Drosophila melanogaster: one gene and its partners. The protein of the gene in region 3 interacts with the protein of the main gene of each other region in a pairwise test. Each region holds a gene or a part of one and is shown on either strand. Other genes may lie near its edges. The genes, in order: RpS15Aa, CG32809, Vps52 and CG8141.

Region 1 (4,612 bases), on a different chromosome or scaffold from region 3:
TGCAGCACTGAACTCGAGGGCTGCAATTTGCCCGCAAAAACTTTAAGTGTTGATAACAAGTAATGCCTAAAAACGAATATCACAAACCCAACACCCGTTCATAAAAAACCTAGTACTCCCTAGGGATAACTTGAGATAACATCAAATTTGACTCATCGAGTGAATACACTTTATCATAATTAAAACAAATTTTTACTCAAAAATTGCAGCAGTTATCTACAGCATAAATTCGGAACTTGTGCTGGAAAACAGTTGAAAACCTGAAGAAGCATGTAAATGTACGTTTTACATGTACATTTTGTTCTATAGAAACTACAACAAATTCTAACAAGCATTATTTGCTTCATAAACAATTTTTGACAGTAATTGAGGTTTTCTTGGTGAAGAAGTTCTAACAAATAATAAGAAACCTAGGTGGGAATACCAAAACTATGATGGTCTAATCATTTTTGGCTTTAAGGTGTCAAGAGTGGGAACAATTGGCCCTTACTTTCATTATGGAAAGCACGTAACCGTGTTTTAAGCACCTCAAAAGAAACCGCATGGCGCGTTCTTAACATCCTAATTGTCTTGATTTCAGCCATAAAATTGACAATATCCAGCTATAAGTAACTCCGGTCGAGGTTATATTATACACAAATTGGGTTTTATGTTAACAGATCGTTTTACTGTCGCTATTGATTTATCACTGTACCGCTTAACATAGTATATGGATCGTAGACAAAATCGTTATTAAAATTATTATGTATCAATCATTTTATTTCGCGTAACTTTGTGAACATTCATCGTCGTTTGTTTTCTGAATGAACGTAGCAGCGTTTTCGCCCCTTGTTTCCTGTGCACAAAGTACATAGTTGGTTGCATGGTCGGTGAAATAAAACGTCAATCTACATATCAAACTCCTTAGCAGCACATACAGACTCTCTACGATGCGAACTTGGTTTCTCTAGAAGAAGAAGCCGAGAATTTTGCCTCCCAAATGTTTTCTCCTAGCCTCCTCGTGGTCCATGATGCCGCCAGAGGTGGTGAGCACAACGTAACCAAACTGACGCGAGGGCAACAGATTGTTGGTCCATTTCTCGATGTCGTTGATGGGCACATCGAAGCGGGGCGAGATGACGCCGCACTTGTTTAGCCTACCGGTCAGGTTGACAACGATCTTGCCGGAACGATGATCGTCGACGATCTCGAATTCGCCGATATAGCCATGCTTCATCATCACGGTCAGGAACTTGATGATCACCTTGGAGCAGGGACGCAGCAGCACCTGCCGCTTGCCACGCTTCTCGGCGTTGTTTATGCACTTCAAGGCATCGGCCAATACGTTCATACGCACCATGGCTGCAAAATGTTCGGGAACACAATTAGTCAAGAGGCAATAATCACAGAAAAAAAAAGATGATGTCTTGGGCTTTAATCGAAAGTGCAGACTTTGCCACCCCCATTGCTCTATAAAATCAGTCTACAAAACCAAGCAAAACGTGCTCAGAGCCTACTAAAAAAAAGTATCTCACTAAATTGCATATAACTACTATATAAGTAGTACTATGAGGTTGGCTAACAAAGCTTAAGCCCTATTAAATGAAAAACTAACTTGAAAAGTACGTAAAACTATGTGTACTACAAGAACAGATCAATTGACCACCTAAACAAAACATATCAACTTATGGAGCCTATACAAGTGTGGCATATGACTTATTGGAAAAAGGTTTCCCTAACACATATGAACCATTATGAGCATAATAAAGTATTCAATAAAAGTGGCTACTATTATAATACTCTAGATTTCTGGAGGGCAGGAGGCGTGGCGCCTTTTCGGAAATTCACGCGGACAGACGACGAATCGTTTTTTAATATTGATTATGATTTTTAACAGTTTTTTACTTCACTTTTTAAATCAGCGAGGAACGGAACATTGAATAAAAAAAGAAGCAGAAACAGCAAGTAAAACACGTGCAAAATAGCAAAGAAAAAAAAATGATACTGTCTGTGTTTCTGCGGCTGTGTGTGTGTGCGTACAAGTGGCTGTAAACAACAACTATTTCGGGTAAGTTTACCAACTAAACTGCGTAAAAATTTGTTTAATTTAGCCGGTTTTCGGTCGTGCATTCGATTCAACTGAATGCCCAACTTTTTGCCACAATTTAAAGCCGCTCACACCCACCCACACATGCACAACAACACTGTGCCACACACTTTGGCCAATTTTTCACTTCATATTCGTTTGCACATTAAAAAAATTATAACCAAAAAAATACATATATATAGCGCATGTAGCGAGGCATTTCATGCATTGTTTACACGGTAAACTGATCAGTTTTGGCACATTGGCCCACAGTAAAAAAAAATGGGTAATAAAAAAAACGGAGTTGGGTGGATTTGCACATGTTTCGGCCGGCGATCGCCGCCAATCTAATCTGGCTGAATTTTCGCGCTTAAAACGGGTCCAATGGAAGCGGCATTTACCTGGATTTGTTTGCAAAAACTGTTTTACACGACCGCTGCAAATAGAGGAAATAAAAGAGAGTTAAATACAATTTTGTTGAACAAAACTCGGAGTACACGTACTCACGCAAACGTGAAAAAGGGAAAAGAAAGGGAAACGGAAGGAAAAAGACGCAGAACAGTGTGGCCGCGTTTGTCGAATGTGTCTACGCTCAACGTGCCTATCGATAGTTAGCCGGACGCAGGCCGCGGTTGCTGGCTTGACTAAAATCGCTTCCAATTATTTGGAGCCCAACTGCCACTATGCATGTGAATAGACTTGAACGGCTTCAGAAGTAATCTTTGATATTTCTCTGATCCCCCCGAGCATCATGATCCCGTCTATATTTTTCTGCGTAGCCAGACTAAGGACCGATGTTTCCATTGGCGTAAAAAAATAAATAAAAAAAAAACAGCAGGCCTTAAGTGATAATTAAACGCTTTATTAACATAACAATTTATTTATATTTAAATTTATTTTAATTTGTTTCAATATTTCGCCATATTTGTATGTGTATTTTACGTCTCTAGAGTTGCACTAACATGATTTCAAGGGGTAAGAGCCTTGGTTTGGCAATAAAACAGAAAATAAAGTAATGATTGGTCCATTGAAACACAATTAAATACAAGTTGATTAAAGCACAAGTTTTAAAGTAGTTTCACATTGAAATAACGAATTTTGTGATACTATCCGTGTTTCAAACTATTATCTTAATACTATCGAATGGTCCTCCTATCGATATACAACGGTTCTTTTAGCCGGTAAAGCGTTGCTGTCAGCAGTTTTGCACCATTGAGGGATTTTTGTGGTCGCTTCAGACGGTCATACTAATTATTCATAAATAAACAAGAATGGCAAAACAGTAAGTAATTTGTTAAAAATAAACAATTTGAGCAGTTTTTTAAGGACCCGTTTCAACACCGTGCAGATATGGCCTTATTTTACCCGGCCAACAGAAGAAAGTACCTCTAAAACGAGTCGAAAGGCCCTCCATCTTCGACGAGAACAGCGACTCCGAGACCGATGATGACCCAGCTGCTCCTCAATTTCAGCCAAGAACCGGCGGCGTATCCATGGGTCCTAGTCTAATGGAACGCCGCGTGGCCCGCCGGCAGCAGGAGAAGGCCCTGGCCGAGGATCCAACCATATTCCAGTACGACGAGCTGTACGATGACATGGACAGCAAACGCGAGGAGGCCAAGCAGACGAAGAGCCAGGAGCCGCGGAAACCAAAGTACATTGGCCGGCTGATGGAGCATGCCGAGCGCAGAAAGCTGGAGAAGGAGCTGCGCATCGAACGGCAGGTGCAGAAGGATCGCGAAGCCGAGGGCGAGATGTATAAGGACAAGGACACCTACGTGACTGCCGCCTACCGCAAGAAGCTCGAGTCCATACGCCAGATGCAGGAGCAGGAGCAGCGTGATGAGTACCTCGAGGCCATTGGCGATGTGACCAAGCAAAAGGATCTGGACGGCTTCTATCGCCATCTATACGAACAAAAGTTGGGCGGTCCCGCCCAGCAGGATGTCGTCAAGCCAAAGACGGCGCCCACCACCGACGAGGTGGCATACAAACCCATTAAGGCAGAGGCTGTCAAGCATCGAAGCTATCGGCGACGTCGCCCCTCCGAGGATGAAGAGGAGCAGACTAAGAGCAAATCAGACGCAGCCTCGGACGCCACGAAGTCAACGGATCAAACGGAAAGCATACCAGCGCAGGCACATTTGACCAACAACATAGATGCCGATTCTGATTTTAGCATAGACGACTCCAGCGATGAAGAAGACGAGAAGGAGAATGAGAAGGAAAAGAATAAGCTGTCCCAGATCAAAAAGGAGGATAAGGACAAGGCTCCGGAAAGTTCAGAGCCCGTTAAACCCAAAGAACCCGAGGCCTCGCAACAATCCCCCACCAAAAAGGATGATTCCAATGCCGAAGTGAACGAAAAGGATCTACCCGTGCCGAGAGTCACCAAACCGCCTGTGGATCGCACACTCTTCTGGCGCAAGAGGACCGTGGGCGAGGTCCTAGCGGCAGCCTTGGCTCGCTACGAGGAACGCAAGCGAGCGCGCCTCCAGTAAAATGCATCCAATTAAAGTTCGAGTTGAGGGAAAAACAAACCAGTGA
Region 2 (4,780 bases), on a different chromosome or scaffold from region 3:
CGGTGTCGGTTCCGGAACGGATGGGAGCTTGATTTACAACGGTCTCGCCGACTTTGGCGGACAGCAATTTAAGCAGGATCTTACGCTCAAGATGAGCCTGGAGGAGGAGATCAGCACGCACGACCGAGAGCCCGCCGAGGAGGAGGTAAGGGCCGTGATGGCCATCTGTAGCAGCTGCCACACGGAGCCTTTCCAGGGTGCCATCGTGTTTTCGTGGAAGGATGTGCGCGAGCACATGAACAACGCCCTCAAGGGCCTCAGTGTGGGTCCATGTGGTAACTTCTAGTTGTTCCCAAAGTTCGGATAACATTCTAGTGTCCTAGGACCCCAGCTTAAGCTTTCCCAGCCCCACCCCATTATTTCCATATCTTTTTTTTTTCTATATATGTACGAATAAGTATTCGATTGGTTGGGCATCTTGTGCCACAATTGTCCATGTGGGAGTCAACGCTTTACTGTTGCCACCCATTTGGCCACCAAACAATCCTTGACTCGCTCATGGACACCAATCCATCCTGCTTCCCTAAGCCCTACATCCTCACCCTAGCAATTACGCGGTGATATTGAATAAAGGACTATTTAACTGATACCATCTAGCAGCACTTACCTTTGATTTGTGGATATGCTGGTGCTTGTAGTCCGAGTCGAACTCCGGCTCGCTGAAGTAGCTCTGATCCTGATCCCAATTGGCCTGCGCCTGCGGCAGGGGTTGGGGTATTCCAGGGCCGCCGGGCAGAATCTGGGGCGGGGCTGCCACCTCAGTGGACTCAAAGAGACGCAGCACGGAGCGATCCCTGATCTCGCGCAGATGCGAGCGCACGTCCTCCAGCTCGTAGAACATATCCTTGCTGGCATCGTGAATGTAAATCTTCACATTGGGCCCCTCCAGATATGACATGGTCAACTGGCGCGGAAACGAGCGTACGAACAGGGCGCGCACCGTATCAATCGAAGTGATCTCGTTGGGCAGCAGGGCGCGCTTCGTCTCCGAGCGGTACTGCAGAAAGACCAGGCCCAGCGGTCGTTCCAGAGTTTTCGAGGGCGTGCGTACCACGGGGAGCGAGGAGCGCTGCTTGCCGCCCCTCCGGAATCCGGTGCTGGCCGTTTCCACCTCCGACATGATGCCGGGATCGTCGTCGAACAGCGGTCCCTGGTTAACAGGCGCATAACCGCGCATCGGCTGGTTCTTTTTGTTCTTCTGCGCGCGCGTACTCATCTAAGAAGGGACAAGAATCAGAAACTGATGGTAGAAACGAGTTGAGATGGGAGATGGAGCTCACCTCCAGATCCATGGCCCGCTGTTGCTGGGGCGCCATCTGATGGGCGTGTGGATGCTGCGAGCCGTAGACCAGCATATCGCCGCCGAGCGTATGTCGTCGTGGATCGTCGCGTCGCATGGCTCGTCGTCTTTCGTCGCCACCTGGGGAAACACATAGACACTGAGGATGGGGCTACAGATCCGTGGACGTCTTTGGTCCTTAACATACCCTGTTCATTCGACGGAAGCCGTCCCGACTTTGCCTCATTCTGCCAGTCTTCTTCTGAAAGAGAGGGAGCTGGAGTTAGGCTCATTTCATTTCGCTTCCTTCCGATTTATGGATTCCGATTACTTACCGCCCTCTCTACCCTTGCGCTTCTTCTTCGACGAGGAGCTGCTGCTGCCGCCGACGCTCTGGTTGGAGGAGGCGCTCTTGTCCTTACTCTTCCAACGGATCAACATCCTGCAGCCGTTTGAGATGTGCGGAGCTCAGTGGCTATGTTGCAGCTGCAGAAAATGAGAGACAACGGGGCGTATGGGTAACGTGAAAATGTCCTTATTTTTTTGGTCTTTGTTTACGTTTGGTACCGGCAACAACACGCTAAACCGCACACACACAACATGCAACTTTGGTGTAGATAAACCATGTATCCTCGCACATTCTTTAACAGGGTGTGGTGGAATGGAGTGGAGCCTCGCAGTGGCAGTGCCAGTGCTCAATGCAAAAAGTATGCAACGGAGTGCGCAAACTCTGCTCTGCAACACGGAATGGAGCAAGAAAGCAGGACAGAGCGGAAGGCGTGACTGGAGCTGGATCTGGAACTGCATGCGGATCTGGATCGGGACCCCAGAAATGCGGCTGGCAGAACAGACAATAGTGTTGGCCGAATACAATTGTTCATCGCAGTTGCCATTAAGATGCCATTTGCTGAGAGAACACGAATCACTTTCGAATTTGTTTTGCATATGTAAACGTTTTTGGAGTTGGAAGTTGCTTTAAACAAGGCATGTCAAGTTATTTTGGCTGCATGTACATGTTTATCTCGAGCAAGAAATCCGAGGAAGGGGCACCAAAAGGAAACGGACGCAGAGATGGGTACACACGAAACATGGTATACTTTTCAGTGCAGCACTTCACGGGTTTTAGTATGCCTTTGCCTTTGCCAGTGCCAGTGCCTGGGAATATGTACACAGCCACCCACATTCACTGCCCATCGGCATTATTGCGGGCCACTAAAGGAATTTTTGATTAGTTTTAGGTGCGGTGCCCCGGCCCGTTTTTTCCCAGCCGCCATTAATTGTGTCAGTTGCGTCCAGTTTCCAGGGCACGAGTGCACATTAAACACGGTGGAGGGGAGCTCGTGTCTGTTGACTTTTCCACACACGTCAGCGGTCAGTTGGCTGGATTCCTTTGGGTTTTCATGGGGGATCTCGTCCTAGCTGTACCTTGTATACCTATGCACCTTTGGGGGTGTGTGGGCGGTTCACCGGCGATGTTTCTGGCATTTTCTCAAACCGCACTTGCCTTGCCGATTCAGGAAGGTTTCACAATTAACGGGTCTAGGTGCTCATAGCTCGAGGAGCTCACCGATTTAGCCGTGTCCTTAGGATAAAGATTCGATTCAATTCGCTTCGCTTTGCACTCGTCACTACACAGCTTTCTGGAGTCAGGACACGGCACTCGTCCACCGACGCAGCATAACGCCAGAAGAGCAGAAATATTTCTGGTATATCTACACCGGAAAGCGTTTCCGCCCTAGCCGAACGAGGACTGCGTGCTTGCACGGCGCATGCGTTACCAATCGAGTGTTCCCGGACCAGCGAAGTTCCCTGGCATCCAGCCGTCAGAGGTCCTGGCATCCCTGCATTCCGACGCTGCTCTGTTGTGTGTGTTTACCTGGTGCCGGGGCAATCGAGTAATTTTCTTGGCGGTTGAGCGCATGTGGCTATCGAATGGCTCCAATCGATTACTGGGCGGAAGGCCTTTAAAAACAGGTGACGAAACACATGCTTGTCCTGCGCCGGCTTGTTTATCCGGGAGTAGCCAGGATTCCAGCGGATGTCTGGGCCCGCAGCCACGCCCTGGTGGAGTTTCCCGGCCAGTGGCCTCGCTGTGAGCAGCACCAGTTTGAATCGGACATGCGGGTCATCAGGGACTTCATCACTGCGAAGGAGGAGCAACTACTGATGCGGGAAATCGAGCCTCACATCAGCCGCTTGCCGTACGAGTTGAGCCACTGTGATGACGTGGGTGGGTATATATAGAGACTATATAGTATCGGATTTCTGGCTAAACTTCTTAAACTTCGCAGGCAGATACCGCGAAGTTGAACGCCGAAAGTGGACTCCCCAAAACCAGGCCACGCTGGATCACGTCTCGTGAGTTTCCTTCGGTGAGCAGGTCATGCCCTTCGTGCACATCCTGGACTTGGCTGACTCTGGCGCGATCAAGCCGCACGTGGACAACACTCGAGTGAGTTTGGCCACAGAAGATGCAACTCGATTTCATTTTCATTTACGATTGTATTCGACAGTTTTGCGGCAACACCACTGCGGGCATTAGCATGCTCAGCGACTGAAGCGCGTGACCAAGGATCCCATGACTTTGTCAGCCACTCTGAGGATCTGCTCCTGCCGCAACTCTCGCTCTATATTAAGAGTGCCCTAGCGCGATACGAGTTCACCCACGAAATCCTGGCCAGAGATCAGTCGTGGTTCAAGGAGCGCTTGGTCGAAACGAACCTTGATGGCATACGCATAGTTTCCTTTTCTCACAGCTGGTGTACATGTATATATATATATATATACAATGAAAATTTATTCCGGTTTGGTGATCAGCTAATGTAATACAGACGGCGGACTGCGACGGATTACACGACGTGATTCAGCCATGTAATATATGATACACTAAATCAAATGTACATATACATAGTATATCTTAAGCTAGCTACTTGTACTTTATAAATATTGGGCTCACCTTTCTCACTCGCTTCAAATTTTCTACTCCCTCTTATAATCTTTTGAAATTTGTGTTTTTTGCTCAACAATGTATATGGGTTGATGCTTTTCTACTTTCATTTGTACGTTGTCGTCTCGTTTCATTTAAAGCTTAAAATATGAGAATGACAGAGACAGGGAGATTAATGGGCAACTGAGTGAGATGGAGAGAAGGTGCTTGGGAAAGGGGAAGGATACAAAAATCGACCGGACAAGGACTAGTCCTGGATTCAAGGATAACTGGGAAATAGTGATGTGTTGTCGCTAAACCTACGTTCATATTTGCACTTCTAGCCACTGCTAGTTAAAGTCTATGCCGTGCTTCCGGCTCGGGGAATGATATTATGGCGATGGGGACTCGGTTCTGGCGGGTCATCGGTCATCAGTCATCCAGCTCATCCCAGTTTTCGGCGCCGCGGCAGCTGCAGCGGCAAGGCAACAACGGAAGCAGACGAGGTCGGATTTGCTGCCATCACCGGAAGGGCAAGAGCCACTGGAGCTGCGAGTCCGCCGCCGACGTACTGC
Region 3 (4,879 bases):
GTGATCCCAATGCGGCTAACCGCAACCTATCCGATTCCCAAACTCATTTCTCACGTTTGCAGCGGAGCCGGTGATACACGATGCGCTGAAGAAGGCCCCGGGCAACTCGCACTTCGTGCATGTGGATGTGGGCGAGCGGGCATAGTAAGTTAATACCGCCAAACTGAAGAAAACAGCTGCGATTAGTTAGATAAGCAGGAATTAATATTTCATGCACTGCGAGACTGCGAACATCTGCTGGTTTCTTTGGTTCGAAATAGCCAAATAGTTTCAAAACACAGGCTTAGTCATTTAGAATGACGTACATATATGCATATATCCCACGTCATTCAGTTGCCAAAACCCTTTGTCATTCGATTATCAAGTTCAAAACATTTTGGCAATGTGAAACTAGTCACTCAACCCCAACTGTACGATGATGAAATAAGCACTCGAGTACTTTTTCACACGCCGAGAACATTCATGATAAAAAAAACCATTAAACAACGATAGCTTTACAATGCTCTTGAGTTGTATTCATGCCGCCTGTTATCACTGAACCGTGGTAAGCAATAAATTAACACTTGTTTTTCACTGCAGCTGGAAGGATTTGAACTGCCCCTTCCGCAAGGATCCCAACACGCATCTGATCTTCTTGCCCACTCTGTTGCGCTGGAAGCGGCCACAGCGTCTGGATGGCGAGCGCTGCTCCAATCAGGATCTCGTCGAGATGATGTTCGAGGATGAGGATTAAGTCGTATACCTTACATACATTTATTTTGGAACTTTACTCAATTTGGAATACACAGAAGACACACACACAGATTCAATTAAAGCGTCCCTCAGTAATTGCTCTTGTACTTCTTGATCTCCACCATCACGACGTGGATATTGGTCAGCTGGGCGCGGGCATTGGGCGTGAGGAGCTTGTGGAATCGGTGATAGTATTGCACCAAACTGGCCAACGCAAGCTGCAGAAGCTGTGAGCCCGTCAGCAATGAGGGAAATGAGAGAAGCACCTCCCTGTTTAGCTCCTCCAGAGATTTCTTCCAATTGGCCGAGAAGCTGGCGACCAAGGCCAGACTTCTTCGCTCCTGTTTGCGCAGCTCATCCATTTGTTCCTTCTCGAAGAAGTGCTCGCACTCCTTGACGAACTGAATAATGCCTCCGAAATGAGGGGCCAGGATCTCCTCGACATATTCCGCACTGCGGGAGTTGAGCTGCTCTCTGAATGCCTCCGCTTCTTTGGAGTTATCTCGCGTGTGCTCCATCAACACGCCCAAAACCAAATCGTAGTTGTTTATCAGGTAGATTAGCTGATCCTTTCGCGTTGGAAATATTGCGGCCATGCGAAGGATAAAGCACTCCACTTCATTTTGCAGTTCCAGAAGCAGTCGGCTAACCAATTCATTAGGAAAATGCTCCGAGATTCCCACAATGGCCGCACTGAACTCTGCGTAGCGTCGTGTTATCTGTAAAGTATACGTATTATATTATGACAAGGCGTTTTGTTCAAAAGAAATGGTTAAAAGTTATCTCTATTGGCCCTCTCTTGACTTTTAGAATGCTATCAACATCGATTTAAGATAATTTGTAACCCGTACTAACTTTAAATCGTATACTTACGTAGTGCGGTCCCAATTCCTTGTTGAACTTGGTTGGATCACAGTCATGTATGCTCTGGATATTCAAGCGGAATACTAGTTCGAAACGTGGCCATATTACCGCCTGCAGGGAGTCCCAGTATCTGAAATCAAAACATATAAATATCCAATTGTGAACCAAAATCATCAACGCCCATGAATAGACTCACTTATCCAATGCGGGAACACAGCGCTTGTGGCACATTAGCTGATAGCGGAAAATGAGATGGATGCACAGGAACATGGCAATGGTATCAAAACAGTCGTGTATGGAGGTCTCCAGATTTTTCTAGGTTCAAAAAACAGATATGATTAATATTTCGCAAGTAAAAACCATTGACTTACAATCATTAGAGTTAGGGTTTTGCCCATGATTTGGTTGAACAAATCTTGCGCTTGAGTGCCGCGAACCATAAAGAACTCCGTGACAAATAGGTATTCCCGACAGGCATTGTCCACTAGGGCGTATTGCTCCGACCGAAAGAGAGCTTCCGCTGTGTACTGTTTAAAATTTGAGATGTATCTCCTTTGCAAGTGTATGTATCACATCTCTTACTCGATTCTTTAGCTGCGCATGTGGCACTATAATTGGTGCCTCCAGCTGCTGGTTAAGTATATCGCCTCGCTTTCCTATTGTGAAAATGGTGCTCTTGTGCTTTAGACTCGTCGTCTTGGAGAATAAACCTTTGGATGCATTATCTTCGATGCCCATCAGATCGTCCTTTGTGCAGGACTCCTCGAATTTGAGGCTCGTCAAGCGTGTGGAATAACTCTGCAAGAAAGTTATGAATTTAAGAAAATTCATGCTTCCACAACTTTGAAAAAAAAACCAACCTTAAAATAGCTATAGTAAATTTTGCCCATCGTATCGATGTATTCACTGCATATTTCCTGCGCCACATGCCGCTCGTTGGACAGGATGAACTCGAAGAAGAATTTGTGCTTCAGCATGGCGTTCTGTGGAATCTGGTAGTTTGTCATGGGCTTCCGGAACTTGTAAATCTGCTCCAGCAGATAGGAGCGAATCTTGGCCATGGCTTTCAGTCGAAGCTTCTGCAGCACATCGCTCACATCGCTGGTGGACTTTGACTCTTTGAAGCTGAGCTCCTTGACCAGCGAAAGTTTGTGATTCAGTACATTCAACTGGGTGCTGAAATCCCGCTCCGTAACCGGGGTTTCCATTATTATGTTGATCATCTCCTCGGACACGGCCATGTCCTCGATAAACTGGGACAATTGAGCCTTGACCGACTGACGATTGGTCAGTTGGAGGGACATGGATACGGATTTTCTTTGCAGCTGCGTGATCTCAGTGCTTATGTTGTTCAAAACGCTCTGGAAGCTCATCAGCATATTTTCCATGCGCTCCAGGACATCGTCGCAATCGTTTATCTGATTGTGCAGGTTGGCTATATTCTGCGACTCCGCTATATAGTCTGGTATTCAAAGGGATATCATTAGAGCTAAGTTTGCATATGGAACATGGTGCTTACCCTCTATGGACTTATTCTCCACCTCCTTAAACTCCTTTTCAATCTGTCGTGAATATTGCCGCAGATCCGTGGTGTTCTTTAGGATCTCCCGCACCTCCTCGTTGTCCAGTTGTTCCGTCATTTGCGGGGACGGCACCTCGGCCATTTTTGTTTTCCAATTTAAAGGTATTTTTCCCAATTGTTTTTCTCAACTACCAACAAAAATAAAGTATGTCATCAAAACAGCTGTTTTTGTTATCGGAGTAAGATGTGCTTTTGGAAAGACCCTAATATTGGTGATGAGAACTAAACTATGTTTTCAAAAAAAAAAAAGATTTCTTGGTTCATATAAAAAATTACTTAACTAATACAATTTTAATTAAAATTAATTTTTGGGTGAAAATTGAAATTGAATTTAAGACCAATTTTTTTCAATTATTCATTTATTTGTACACAAGCAATCAATGAGTTTCTTTTCTAGTACAACACTTGACTTGTGCCTCTTATATTCTACCAATTATACAACATGAACACAAATTTATTTTTAAGCAATAAAAGCTAAACTATCGCCCTACCCAGAACTTGCGAATTAACAGCTGTTTTGACTATCGATACACAATTGGAGAGTGTGCCCCCATTGGCAGCCATCGAGAATAGATAATATCGAAAGTATCGAAATAGAAGTTTACGCGAAGAGAAGGAAACACATAGCAAAAAAGAACGCAAAAAATAAAGGTTAGCGAAATCTGTGCGACGAAGATGACCAGTTTCCGCAAGCGCACCGTGCAGAAGCCAATCCGCGGCACCCGCACCTCACCGCACACGGCGCAGGTGATCACCTCCAGCGGAAATCCGTACTTGGACGTGGTCATTGGCGGCGGTCTGCCCATGGGTTCGATCTGCCTGATCGAGGAGGATCGCTTCATGACGCACGCCAAGGTGCTGGCCAAGTACTTTCTGGCCGAGGGTGTGATTTCCAAGCAGGAGATATTTCTGGGCAGCCTGGACGACATTCCAGCCGAGATGCTGCGCCGTCTGCCCAGACCGCTGACCGACCAGGAATCGATGGAGCAAAGCGAGGTGCAAGCGCTGGGAGATGCTGGCGCCGAAAATGGCCTAAGGATCGCCTGGCGATACAATGATCTGCCGCTGGTGAATTCGGAACATGCCACAGCAAAAATCGGACACCATTTCAATCTGATGGAACAGATGGACTCCATGATGCTCTACAATGTCAAGACTACCTTGTGGGACGATAGCCCCAAGCATCTGGACATCGTCATTGACGAGGAGTTCTCCAAGAGCAGCTCCCCAACCACTCCGTCGCTGGAGCAGCAGCCCGTGGAGGATGCCCCACCGATTCCGGGCACGGAGACCGCTCCGCAGGAGAAGATGCCAGCCCAGGAGGAGGAGAACTCTGCCAACAACAATAATAACAACAATAACAATAGCAGCAGCGTGACCAGTAGCACAAAAACAGGCAGCCAGGATTCGCCGTTGCAGGTGTTCCACAACCCTCGGTACAAAGGACTGCTCAACGATATTCAACAGCTGCTGCGTAACGAGAGCTTCGTCGCTGGGACCAAGAATAACCTGTGCCGCGTCTGCCTGACCTCGTTGGGATCGCCGCTGTGGTACGACGAACACTTCGGCGAGGATCTGATCAAGTTTCTCACACTGCTGATGGCCAGTGTGCGGAACTGCAACTCCGTGTGCCTGATCACGATGCCCATGCACCTGATTGCCAAGTACGATGCCAGCCTAGTGCCCAAGATCCGCCAACTG
Region 4 (3,330 bases), on a different chromosome or scaffold from region 3:
CGGTTATATATCCTTACGGATTTCTCGGCACTCACTTAATTAATGATAAATATTGCCCAGAGCCAAGCCGCTAAAGGCCGACACGCAACTCCAATTCCCCCACGGAGCTGTCATCAAGTGTCCATCCCCCACAAAAGTCGGTTAACAACTCAATTGGGCTAACCCAATTCCCCGAATATTCAGTTGACCATGGTTCATTAGCCAAAGTATTCGGTTCGTTTCTTTCCATACTCCTCAGGTGAAAAGGCTTTAAGTTCCGACTTAAAGCTGCTTAACTTTGCTTACAGTTTTGTCTGGTTTCCTAACTGCCCCAAGAATTTATTGTTTCAGCTGGCCAGGATGCCCCGGTACTTTGCGTTGTTGCACTTACTAACTTTGACTTGGCCAGAGAGTTCATAAAATATTTCTTCGATTCGTTGAAGATGCAAGAGGGTTCCAACGAAAATGTCTTGGCTGCAGAGGTTTGGGCAACAAATTATAATGAATGTTATATACGATTTAAATCATTCGATTTTATAAAATAGATACTTTCAGCATTAGCAGAAATTTATTGAGGTCCGACCAACCTCTTAAGATATTAACCAAAACGCACTCTTCTCCCATTAACCAAAAACAAAAATGTATTACAAAAACACCTCTTAGAACAGCGACAGTACGGACCATATCAGAAATATGAGCAACACGCATCCCAACTGGAACCACTTGAGAAAACTAATTTGTGCTCCGATCCAAGGGTACACCATTGGAATAAGCCTTATAGCGCAGTGAAGATCCCTCTCCCTGCGAATATCAGGGAAAGTCGCTGGGCACCCATCTACAGGATCGTTGACCGCGAACCAACAGGGAAAATCAGTATCAGAGAGATACAGTCCCGTCGGGCGAGGCACTGAGCCCGGCTGGGCCGGCACATTATTATCCTCCTGACGGGCATTGGGTCCCTCTCCATGGAAGGGCATGATGTCCTCGTACATGAGCAAATGTCGTTGACAGCATGGACATCTTGGCTGTGCTGTACCACTCAATTTGGGCCACAGGCAAGTCCAGCAAAACAAATGACCACAGATGGTGATCACACCACCACGCACATACTGGTTGCACTCATTGCACACATAGGGATCCAGATGCAAATTCCTGCGACGGTAGCGAAGTCTAGTTCCAGGCAAGAGGTCATCTTCGCCATCATTTTCCTGCTGCTGTTGCTGATTGACGTTTGCGTTGGACAAGTCTGGTATATAACCCTTTGAAATCACCTCACCTGCTCACCTTGAACATTAATAATTTTCCATTTAATTGGAATGCCTCACCTTGAAGGCCATGACTAGGATTCTCGGCAGTTTCATTCGCTGGAACTTCTTCATTTATATAGCAATGATTTGGTGGATCATTTTCTCTAGCAACTGCTTCCATTTCAAAATCTTTTTGTGATTATTGTTTTTAAAAACCCATGCTCCAAATTACATAAATATAAATTTGTGCCTGGCAAATTTGTGACAACTGAGTCAAAGCAAACGCGACTTTTTATAATATTCTTAACACAGATCTTAGGTACAATAGTAATTTTATTTCTCGATTATATGAAAAGCAAGACATTTTCAGCGACTTAAATTTGAGGGCATATTAATTAATGACTAAGTTTCACCGTAACATAGTTCATGCCAGATTTTGATTGTTTTGCAGACACTTAGTGATTTATATTAAAACCATTCCAGCATTCCGTCCAAGAATTGCAAAACAGCGAACTACACACGCCGAGCATTTGACAGTTCCGGAAAAACGGCGGAAAATCGAAATTCGTAGCATTCGCCAGATGTGTGACATATGGCGGCATAATTTATGCGAAAATTGAACCGGATAGTGAGTGGAAACTTCGCGGTCCGTTGCCGCTGCATTTAAATTCTGACAATTGTTTGCATTGTCCTGGCAGCACGTCTGCGGCATTGTTTAATCCCGATTTTTCGACATCGATGGGGACCATCGACTGCTTGTTAATTGACCCACATTTGTGAGCTGAGTACATAATTAAAAGAAAATAAAGCGCGGGACGGTCCAAATAAACCCGCCGACAGGCGTTCGCACACATAACAATGACAATAATAATAAAAGTGAAGTTTCATAGCGAAATTACACACTCGAACAGAATTAAATAAAGAACTATTACGCAGTGGTGTAAAATAACCTGTTCTTGTTCTGAATAAAAAACAAGCGGGAGTGTTGCGTGGTAAAATATAATGAAATTTAAGTTTTTAAGACCATCTATAAAATATTTTTAAAGTACTATAATTATATGGTAATGCGTAGCAAAGTATTTCCGAAGCTTGTGGACACACCGTGCGCTTTTTACTTACCCAGTGAAATAACAACTAGCGGAAAATAATGCATATTAATAGCGACTTTTTCACATATTACACAACTGCCGACATTTATCAGGCATTAATAATTACGTGTTAATACGTGAAATATGATTAAATTTTTATCAGTTTACATGAATCACTTTCGCACGTTTGCGTGCGAACAAGGACATTTTATTGGCTTCATTTGGCGACGGACCGCAGAGAAACTGACGTTTGCCCAATCGGAATTACAATCGCAATGCCAGTGGTTCTGCGTCATTTGGCATCCTATATCCCTGTCCACAAAGCGAATCCTTTAGCCTGTCCATTTGCCTGCTGTGAGTGGAGGGGCGTAATACACTGCGTATACGTAATGGGGGTGCCCCAGCGTATACGCAATAAAAAGTGGTAAAGCCGAGCGATGGCACAAGGATAACCGCCTGCGCTGGCCATTAAATGCAACAATAAATTCGGCAGTTCAACTCCAGTCAACTTCGTTGGCATGCCCGAAATTTAATTAGTTGGCATTTAACATTAAGCATTTCCACTGGCGCCGCGGCTGTCATTGGGCTTTGTTTTCGTTTTGCTTTTTATGTTATTTTTCAGTTAATTAAACGCACGCCAACATCTCGCCATTCTAAATTGTGCGCAATTAAATTTGGAATTACTTTCAACTGAGTATTCGCGTAGCTCTCGCCAGCGGCGCGGCAATAACTTAACTTGAAATTTTATTGTAAGCCCCTGCCTTGCCAACTGTCACTTTTGATGGGCAGCCATTGGAGCGTAATTAGGCTACTACAACGCTCCTAAAAACCCCTACCCAAATTACCAACCCCTTCTCACTACTTGTGCCAAAAAGCTAACTTTAACTTTTCCAGCTTGGCAAGCCTTTAAGTTCGTACCTAACTTCGTTTGTCTGATGCTCGAAAGTGCACTGTCTGCCGGCTTCATTATGCAAAATGCAATGGTACACAAGCCGATGTGAAGAGGCTGCTTGTCT

The links.
Region 1: the proteins of Vps52 (region 3) and RpS15Aa interact in a two-hybrid assay, tested with the Drosophila melanogaster proteins (one large-scale study listed by BioGRID).
Region 2: the proteins of Vps52 (region 3) and CG32809 interact in a two-hybrid assay, tested with the Drosophila melanogaster proteins (one large-scale study listed by BioGRID).
Region 4: the proteins of Vps52 (region 3) and CG8141 interact in a two-hybrid assay, tested with the Drosophila melanogaster proteins (one large-scale study listed by BioGRID).

The regions. Positions count from the first base shown.
Region 1 is NC_004354.4:13,335,039-13,339,650, forward strand, and holds RpS15Aa (ribosomal protein S15Aa), read right to left. Parts: upstream 2,601-4,612; 5' UTR 2,467-2,600; intron 1,342-2,466; 5' UTR 1,340-1,341; coding exon 947-1,339; 3' UTR 599-946; downstream 1-598. Other genes in the region: CG15747 (uncharacterized protein), read left to right, coding at 3,337-3,347, 3,414-4,566.
Region 2 is NC_004354.4:1,689,593-1,694,372, forward strand, and holds the start of CG32809 (uncharacterized protein), read right to left. Parts: upstream 3,177-4,780; 5' UTR 2,847-3,176; exon of another isoform or gene 2,705-2,846; intron 1,766-2,704; 5' UTR 1,721-1,765; coding exon 1,615-1,720; intron 1,542-1,614; coding exon of another isoform or gene 1,539-1,541; coding exon 1,488-1,538; intron 1,421-1,487; coding exon 1,281-1,420; intron 1,217-1,280; coding exon 608-1,216; intron 596-607; exon of another isoform or gene 287-595; coding exon of another isoform or gene 1-286. Other genes in the region: b6, read left to right, coding at 1-286; a6, read right to left, coding at 4,651-4,780.
Region 3 is NT_033779.5:5,520,557-5,525,435, forward strand, and holds Vps52 (vacuolar protein sorting 52), read right to left. Parts: upstream 3,343-4,879; 5' UTR 3,261-3,342; coding exon 3,116-3,260; intron 3,059-3,115; coding exon 2,457-3,058; intron 2,395-2,456; coding exon 2,179-2,394; intron 2,124-2,178; coding exon 1,968-2,123; intron 1,912-1,967; coding exon 1,793-1,911; intron 1,727-1,792; coding exon 1,606-1,726; intron 1,452-1,605; coding exon 822-1,451; 3' UTR 734-821; downstream 1-733. Other genes in the region: cl (clot), read left to right, coding at 63-144, 580-733; Elp4 (elongator complex protein 4), read left to right, coding at 3,854-4,879.
Region 4 is NT_033777.3:13,189,778-13,193,107, reverse strand, and holds CG8141 (uncharacterized protein), read right to left. Parts: upstream 1,510-3,330; 5' UTR 1,408-1,509; coding exon 1,305-1,407; intron 1,256-1,304; coding exon 639-1,255; 3' UTR 599-638; downstream 1-598.